Caenorhabditis elegans: one gene and its partner. The protein of the gene in region 1 purifies or fractionates together with the protein of each later gene. This does not show direct contact. Each region holds a gene or a part of one and is shown in the gene's direction. Other genes may lie near its edges.

Region 1 (4,582 bases):
TTCAATAAATCCTTTATTGGAATGTTTTGAAAGTTGCTCTAATCTTTCGGCAGTTAGGCCATCTCCATTTATGATTTTAGAGCTTTGAGCACGGCTATCTGAATAAAATTAACAATAATATTCCAATGCAGAAAGCCAAAAAGATTTGTTAACATTGTATTTATTCTAGGTTTGAAATAGAAATTGTATTCAATTAAGCTACAAATCCAGCTTTTCTAATTTGCAATAACTATCATAGATTGCAGAGGCTACAAATTCGTTTCCGTTGTTTCAATTACGTCACATTTCATTATCACATTCGTATTGTTCATTCGGATAAAAAGCGGTTTTGAACAGGAAATTCCTAATTTGAACTTACTCGGCTGACACACTTTAAGATGTGGTTCTGCAGCACACAATTCGGTTTTTGAGAAAGAAAGAAAATGATCAGAAGGTCGAGCTGAAAATCAATGGTTTCGAGACTGTGGTATTGACTTTGTGAATTGGTTTGTGGTCAACTACGAAATACAATGAACAAGTTCTTCCACGTAGGCTGATACATTTCTGGATCCACTAACCATCAATTGATAATATAGTTAATAGAAGTAACAGCTGACAAAGCGGTATTGACCGCATTGTTGTTAAAAAATGATTGAATGTTGAAGAATAAAGAAACTGTTGCGCGAGAGATGCGGTCCAACTAAAGGTATGCGTTTAGCGTCTCCATTTCTTCAATGTTCTCTTCTAACTTATCATTGTTTTGTGATGAAGAAGTCAGTGTCTGTATGTGTGTGTGTGTATGTGACCATATTGTCAGCCTTTTCTCGATGTGTAACTTTTTTTTAGAAAAAGGTCTTGTCTACAAAAACTACGAGACCAAGAAAAAAAAGAAACGGTTACCACTGTCATAATTTTTTTCCTGAAGGACATAATGAAATCCATGACCAACTTCAAAAGCAGACTTCAGCAAAGTGCAATTTTCATAGAGAAACTATAGTCAAACCATCAGAAGCCGTAGTTTCCAAGATTTCCAGAGCAGTGTTAATGGGCTCAAGCTGGAACGGAGAAGCCTGTCTACTACACGTGCCTGTGTTTACTGTTGTATTCGATAAGAAATCCTAAAAGTTATCAAACCATAAAATCTTGCGATAGACTATGGTTTCTGAACTGATATCGACCGTTCGTGGAAATTTGACATAGGAGCTAAATGTTTTATGATAAACCCTGGCTTTCTCTGAGCACTTTAGAATTTGAAATTTTATATAATTCATTTTCTACAAGAATTGAACAGATCTGTAAAATTTGGCACCTGTAGCGACCAACATGACTGAGATCGTGGCGAGACCCACTCAAACTTCGCAAAATTACAGAGTTTTTCTTCGTAAGGGAACAACATAAAAATTACTAAGTTTCATAATTTCAATGAGAGTTCGAACCATTCCAAACACACGAGTTTAATTTTAGACGGGTGCAGACCATTAAAAATATTATTCTAACTGGTGGCCGAGAAATTCGCTGGCCGTTCAGCAGACGCGCCCCATTGGACATTTAAATATTTTGAGTTTCGAGAAGGATTTTCCCTCAGTTTTCTATGAATTTCTGGAGATTTCAATTCGTTTTCACATTTTGATTACCGTTTTACAATGTTAAAAATTTTCCAATTTTATATTTCTTTGTGAAATCATAAAACTCACCTTCCTCATGCACTATAGGCCATTGAATTAGGCGTTTTTTAAATCTATCATTCACACAAATGTTTATTTTAGACGTTCTTGGATTAATTGTACATTCAAACTTTCTGGGTTTTTTTTTCATGTTTCGTATTTCAGCAAGATGCTTCCAGTCCAAATTTTAAAGGACAATGCTCAAGAGGAACGAGGAGAGAGCGCTCGTCTCAGCTCATTCGTGGGTGCAATCGCCATCGGAGATCTTGTCAAGTCTACTCTTGGACCAAAGGGAATGGTAAGAGCGTTTTGATTGTTAATCAAAATTAAATATTAATTTTAGGACAAAATTCTCATCAGTGGAAACCCAGAAAGCGCAGGAGGAATCAAAGTTACCAACGATGGAGCAACGATCCTGAAGTCAATCGGTGTTGACAATCCAGCTGCTAAGGTTCTTGTTGGTAAGTGCTCATTCACTGAATTTTGTTTTTACTTTTACAAACGTTTTGCATCTTTCAGATATGTCAATGACACAGGATCACGAAGTTGGAGATGGTACTACTTCAGTAACTGTCCTGGCCGCAGAGCTCCTCAAAGAAGCCGAGAAACTTGTCAATCAACGTATTCATCCACAGACGATCATTTCTGGATATAGACGTGCTCTCGGGATTGCTCAAGAATCCTTGAAAAAGTCCAGCATTGAATCCGGAGATAATATTCGTGATGATCTTTTGAAGATTGCCCGTACTACTCTTGGATCTAAGATTCTCAGTCAACACAAAGAGCACTTTGCTCAACTCGCCGTTGATGCAGTTTTGAGACTCAAGGGATCTGGAAATTTGGATGCCATTCAAATTATCAAGAAGCTCGGAGGATCCATGAATGAATCTTATCTCGACGAGGGTTTCCTTCTCGAAAAACTCCCTGGAATGTTCCAACCAAGAAGAGTTGAGAAAGCAAAGATTCTCATTGCCAACACACCAATGGACACTGACAAAGTGAAAGTTTTCGGATCAAGAGTGAGAGTAGATGGTGTTGCCAAGGTTGCTGAACTCGAAGCTGCTGAGAAATTGAAGATGAAAGAAAAAGTTGACAAAATTCTGGCCCATAACTGTAATGTCTTCATCAACCGTCAGTTGATCTACAACTACCCAGAGCAACTTTTTGCCGATGCTAAGGTTATGGCTATTGAACACGCCGATTTTGAAGGAATCGAGAGGCTTGCTCTTGTTCTCGGAGGAGAAATTGTTTCCACATTTGATTCACCACAAACTGCTCAATTCGGATCTTGTGATCTGATTGAAGAGATTATGATTGGAGAAGATAGACTTCTTCGGTTCTCGGGAGTCAAATTGGGTGAAGCTTGCTCAGTCGTTCTTCGTGGAGCAACTCAGCAGATTCTTGATGAGTCCGAAAGATCCCTCCATGATGCCCTTTGTGTTCTCGTTACTCACGTGAAAGAATCAAAGACTGTTGCCGGAGCTGGAGCGAGCGAAATTTTGATGAGTTCAGCCATCGCCGTCGAAGCTCAAAAGGTTGCGGGTAAGGAAGCCCTTGCCGTTGAAGCCTTCGGAAGAGCCCTTGCTCAATTGCCAACCATCATTTGCGACAATGCTGGACTTGACTCGGCTGAACTTGTCACAAGACTCCGTGCAGAGCACGCCAATGGACGTCACAATATGGGAATCGGTTTGTTCATTTGGAAATCTAACCATTATACAAAATTATCTTTCAGACATCGAGAAAGGAGAGGTTGCTGATGTTACGAAATTGGGCGTTATTGAGTCTTACAATGTGAAGTTGTGCATGGTTTCTTCCGCCGCTGAAGCCACGGAACAAATTCTTCGCGTCGACGATATCATCAAGGCAGCTCCACGTGCCCGTGCTCAAGATAACCGACCATGCTAATCAAATTGTTCGCCAGACTGTTAAAAGATCTTCAACTTTATTCTCCCTTTTTCAGCTTTTAATCGAGTGCTTCAACACAATCGTATCTCGTTTTTTTTCGTCCCCTTCATTCTTATTTTTGATGGAATTTGATACACTTTCTGTTGCTTCTGCCTACCGTTTTTATATGCCCCCGTTTTCAATTTAATATTCGAGAATACCGCGTGTTTTTGCTTGTTGATTTGTTTTCCTTTTAAAATGAATGGAGTGCGATTTACAAAAGGTACAATATTTGAAATGTATTTTATTCCAGTTTTTATCTGATTTTTTATATTTCTGATTAAAGAGAAAAGAAAAAGCTTAAAAGAAAAAATTTAGAACTGCCAAAAGATGCACAGGAGTTTTCCGAGGCTTGTCCGATCGCAAGGTAACTTGTTGAAAGGAATGTTTGGAAAATCCGGGGAAAAGGAAGCAGTAAAGCAGCTGACACTGGAAGAACAGGAGAGCCTTCGCAAGACGCTTCCCAGCATCCGTGCTAGAGAATCCACACAAGTTACTGCTTCAGCTGATTCTGTCACTGAATTTGACGATGATCTGTTGACGATGAGCCGTATCGACACGGATGCCATCCGGGCCAGAGGTTTTCTCAAATACACGCAAAACTATGTTCCCGGCGTTGATGTCAAAAACCAAGTACTTGAAGCAGCGTCATCATGTCTAAGAAGTGCTGGAGTAAAGTCTGAAAACGTGGATCAGTACAAATTTGTGGAAGGAGATAACTCTGTAAAGTTCGAGTTGTTGAACAGGCTGGGAAAATCCATCGAACATTGGCCAACCAATGGAAAACTTCTTCATTTGGAAACAGTGGCAGACGTCGTCGAATTTTATCAGACGCCTGTCAAAAATGTAACAAAATATACAGAGTTAGTTTTTGTTTAAAGATGCTTATTGAATTATTAATTAAAATAAATTATAGAATGGCTCGCGATGAGAACAAACCGAAAAACGTCTCGATTATGGAGCATGCTGCACGTTTCCATCCTGAAGACACT
Region 2 (3,418 bases), 650 kb from region 1:
GAGAGTTCGTCGAGGAACAGGAATATTTTCGTCTTTCAATAAGATACTTGGTAAAGTTCCCACTGAAATACTCTGTCTGTCAAATTCATATTCGTCCATTCCTTGACAATTATTCGAGTGCTCCACACGGTTTACAATGAAGTTCTCAATTGATATTTCGTCCATACCAACATAAGAATACTCGGTAGGAAGTATAAACTCTGTGTCCCATAAATTAATACGATTTCCATGAAAGCTGGAAATATCATACTTATTTTTTTCGAGCTTAAAAATTACTTACTCAAGATTAACTCTACCAAAGTATTTAACAGTTAAATGATTCTCCATTCCTTCTTTTAAAAATTGAACTGCATGACGGCGCTTGAAGTTCGGATGAGACAACTCGCATAATTTTGTTGGTGAGGAATTTTGTAATGTGCACTTGATGTTAATTGAGTAATGAGAACTATTTTTCCCAATTCTAATCTCTCCCGTTAACTCATTCACGCCATTCAAATTTGTTCTTCTGAAACAAATAATATTGATGAATCTTGTGCCAGAGAAAACTGTCTTACGCTTTGAATGCAAAGTTGATTGAGATTCGATCCCCCCGTTTAATTCCTTTACTTAGTCGTATTTTTCCTTTTTCATTGAGAATTCGCAAATATTCCGGTGGTTTTTCATAATCTATAGTTTTAAACTGTCCTTCAATAGAAAATTGGGATGATTTGTAGCATGTTAATGTTGGTTCCGTCACACGATTTGTTAAGTCTGAAGAGTTTTGATTTTAAAATTTAGTTTCACATCTAATATTGTTCCATTTCTATAATTTTAAAGGGGCGCATATGGTCTCGACACGGAATGGTCTCGACACGCGCGGCGAATCAATTGAACGAATTTCGTGTTTACAGTATTAATTTTGCTGGCATCGATTTTTCTCTTTTCATTCCCAATTTTCTGCATTTTAAAATGAATTTTATGTATTCAATTCATGCTTACTACGCGTAATAATAGTTTTTTGTATGAGTTATAAGAAAAATCGAAGAATATTTGCCAGAAAAATTAATACAGTAATCTTAAAGGTGCACACCACATGTGTTTTAATTAATTCGCCGCGCGTGTCGAGACCATTCGGCGTAACTGCGCCCTCTTAAAAATCGTGGAAGTGGAAAACAAAATATACATTATATTATTTTTACCTGTAAAAACTGATCTTTCCGCCCAATTGTGAATGGTAGCCACGTCGGCTCCCGCTGATTCGCAAACTTTAGATGCTAAGCTAAATTTGGAGTCAAAATTTGGGACATCGAGTAGCTTAAAATAATACATTGTTAAGAATTGAAAAATTTGAGGATTCTTACCGCCCAACAAACTGGGCCACTTTTAACATTCAGCAGTTCCCAATCTTCTGTGCATACTGAAATAAATAAATATAAAATTAGAGAAGAAAGAACCTACAGAAAGCAGCGGTGAAATGTGTCAAGACTGATAAAAAGATAAGATTTCGTATATTCATTCCTTGAATAATTGGGACTGAATTGATTAAGAAACACAATAAAATGTATTTGTTGAATACATGTATACCCGTCTCTTTAGTAACTTCACGTGAATAATCCCAAAAAATTAATTTATCTTTACTTTTTGAAATTCGTTTGTCTGAAATTCTAATATGTTTAATATTTTCAGGATGTTAAACCAGTCGTTAAGACCACTAGTCAATGTACAAGTGCGATCAGTTTCTTCGAAGTATCCACGTCCAACTCCACGACATTTCAAGTTAGCATTCATGACAGAGTATTCTCAAAAATGTTATTTTTAGACGCCGTTTATTTGAAGCTGCGTTAAAACCGGAGCTCCCACCAACTGTGAACATGTGTATTCCACCGGGACTTATTAAGAGAGAACATACGGGAAAGTCGAAAGAGGTTTTGTGTTTTAGCGTTTAGAACAGTTTTTTTAAGACCCAAAATTTTCAGTATTCCGACGTAGAGCTAGCCTTGTCGAATTTGGTTCGTGATTGGATGGTAAGGGAAGAGTTTCGTGTGATGGCTGTATGCCAATTCTTACCAGTTCCTGGAAGGACTCTGTGGTTTGCAAAAAATCAATTGCGATCAAAGAATATCGAGTTCAGAAGTTACGGAAATAAGATTCTGAAAAAGATTTTTGATAGTAAGCTAATTTTGGGTGACTTTGATAATAACTTCTTAAAATTCAGAAACTCCGATGTCATCCCTGAACACAGTTCTTGTTGGAAATAACGCCATCCTTCTAGCCAAAGATATTTCTGCTATCAAATCAATTCTTCAAGAAACCGATAAACTTAATTGGATCGAACCACTTGTAATGATGGCCGATGGTAGAATTGTGGATATGGTGGATGCTCGCGAACTAGCAAAACTTTCTTCACTTGAAGATCTTCGAGCACATACAGTACAGCTTCTTGGACAACAAGTCGCGCAAGTCACAATTTCTCTGGATACAGTTACACGTCATCTCCCATCACTTTTGGATTCTCATATCTCCACAAACCAGGAAGCAAAAAAATAATAATTTCGTTTTTTTAACAGAAAAGCTAGTGTAGATTTGTTATTGAATTTTTTATTACCATAAATCCATGAAAGCTATAAAAAGAAAATACATTTAAACAAATACCCGAATAAAAACAACAAACAATATACTTATTGTACACACTACATCTAATCTAAAACTAGAAAGTACTATTGCAACAAGATTATTTGAAAAATTATATTGTTAAACTAAACTTCACAAATAAATAGCTAAATTTGTTTCGTCATTCCGACCAAACGCTTAACATTTTCATACGTGAGGAATGTGACCACAGCAGCTGGAAGTTGCCGAACATTTGCAATAAGACATCCTTTCCAAAGTCCACCGATTCCCTCGTTATGTATTGTTTTTAGTGTTGTTTTCCAAACTCCACGAGAATCTGTATTATGATCCTGCATTCTAGTACGAAGAACTTGATACGGGAATGTGATTGTTGTGGCAAGAACCTTGGAAGTTGAAGAAGCGATAACATAATCCGTCTGACTCTGAAATAAAATAAACTAATCTTGGATTCTCTCTGAAACTTACCAAAAATGAATCTTTAGGTAACCCTTGTGATTGACATCTTTTATCAATTATCCAGCTATATGCTGCGATTTGAACTGCTCCGTGTGTTGTTCCTATGACACCCGTGACGAAACCTCGATACAATCCAAAAAATCCCTCCTGTTTAACGGTTTTCTTCAAGCAATCCATCATTCCTGCATACTTTTTAGACTGTTGATTTTCATACTGAAGGCATAGTCTGAAATCCTATTCAGAACATTTAATTTGATCTCGAATCATTTTAATACCGAGTTTTTGTGAGCCAAATTGGATTAGTAATGCACATGATAGCTGAGCCAGATATGCATCCACTTATCAAGTTATT

What was found.
Region 2: the proteins of cct-2 (region 1) and mrpl-10 fractionate together in Caenorhabditis elegans (co-fractionation; one large-scale study listed by BioGRID). This does not show direct contact.

The regions. Positions count from the first base shown.
Region 1 is NC_003280.10:8,925,933-8,930,514, forward strand, and holds cct-2 (T-complex protein 1 subunit beta), read left to right. Parts: upstream 1-1,808; 5' UTR 1,809-1,812; coding exon 1,813-1,941; intron 1,942-1,986; coding exon 1,987-2,104; intron 2,105-2,162; coding exon 2,163-3,332; intron 3,333-3,378; coding exon 3,379-3,551; 3' UTR 3,552-3,883; downstream 3,884-4,582. Other genes in the region: B0457.2 (Glycine-rich protein), read right to left, coding at 1-98, 359-439, 558-615; mrpl-50 (Large ribosomal subunit protein mL50), read left to right, coding at 3,921-4,453, 4,507-4,582. UniProt on the Caenorhabditis elegans protein: Molecular chaperone; assists the folding of proteins upon ATP hydrolysis. Known to play a role, in vitro, in the folding of actin and tubulin.
Region 2 is NC_003280.10:8,276,763-8,280,180, reverse strand, and holds mrpl-10 (Large ribosomal subunit protein uL10m), read left to right. Parts: upstream 1-1,665; 5' UTR 1,666-1,666; coding exon 1,667-1,755; intron 1,756-1,798; coding exon 1,799-1,904; intron 1,905-1,955; coding exon 1,956-2,148; intron 2,149-2,194; coding exon 2,195-2,526; 3' UTR 2,527-2,654; downstream 2,655-3,418. Other genes in the region: clec-142 (C-type lectin domain-containing protein), read right to left, coding at 1-235, 281-505, 555-750, 1,179-1,293, 1,341-1,396, 1,438-1,495; slc-25A32 (Mitochondrial folate transporter/carrier), read right to left, coding at 2,757-3,032, 3,076-3,292, 3,342-3,418.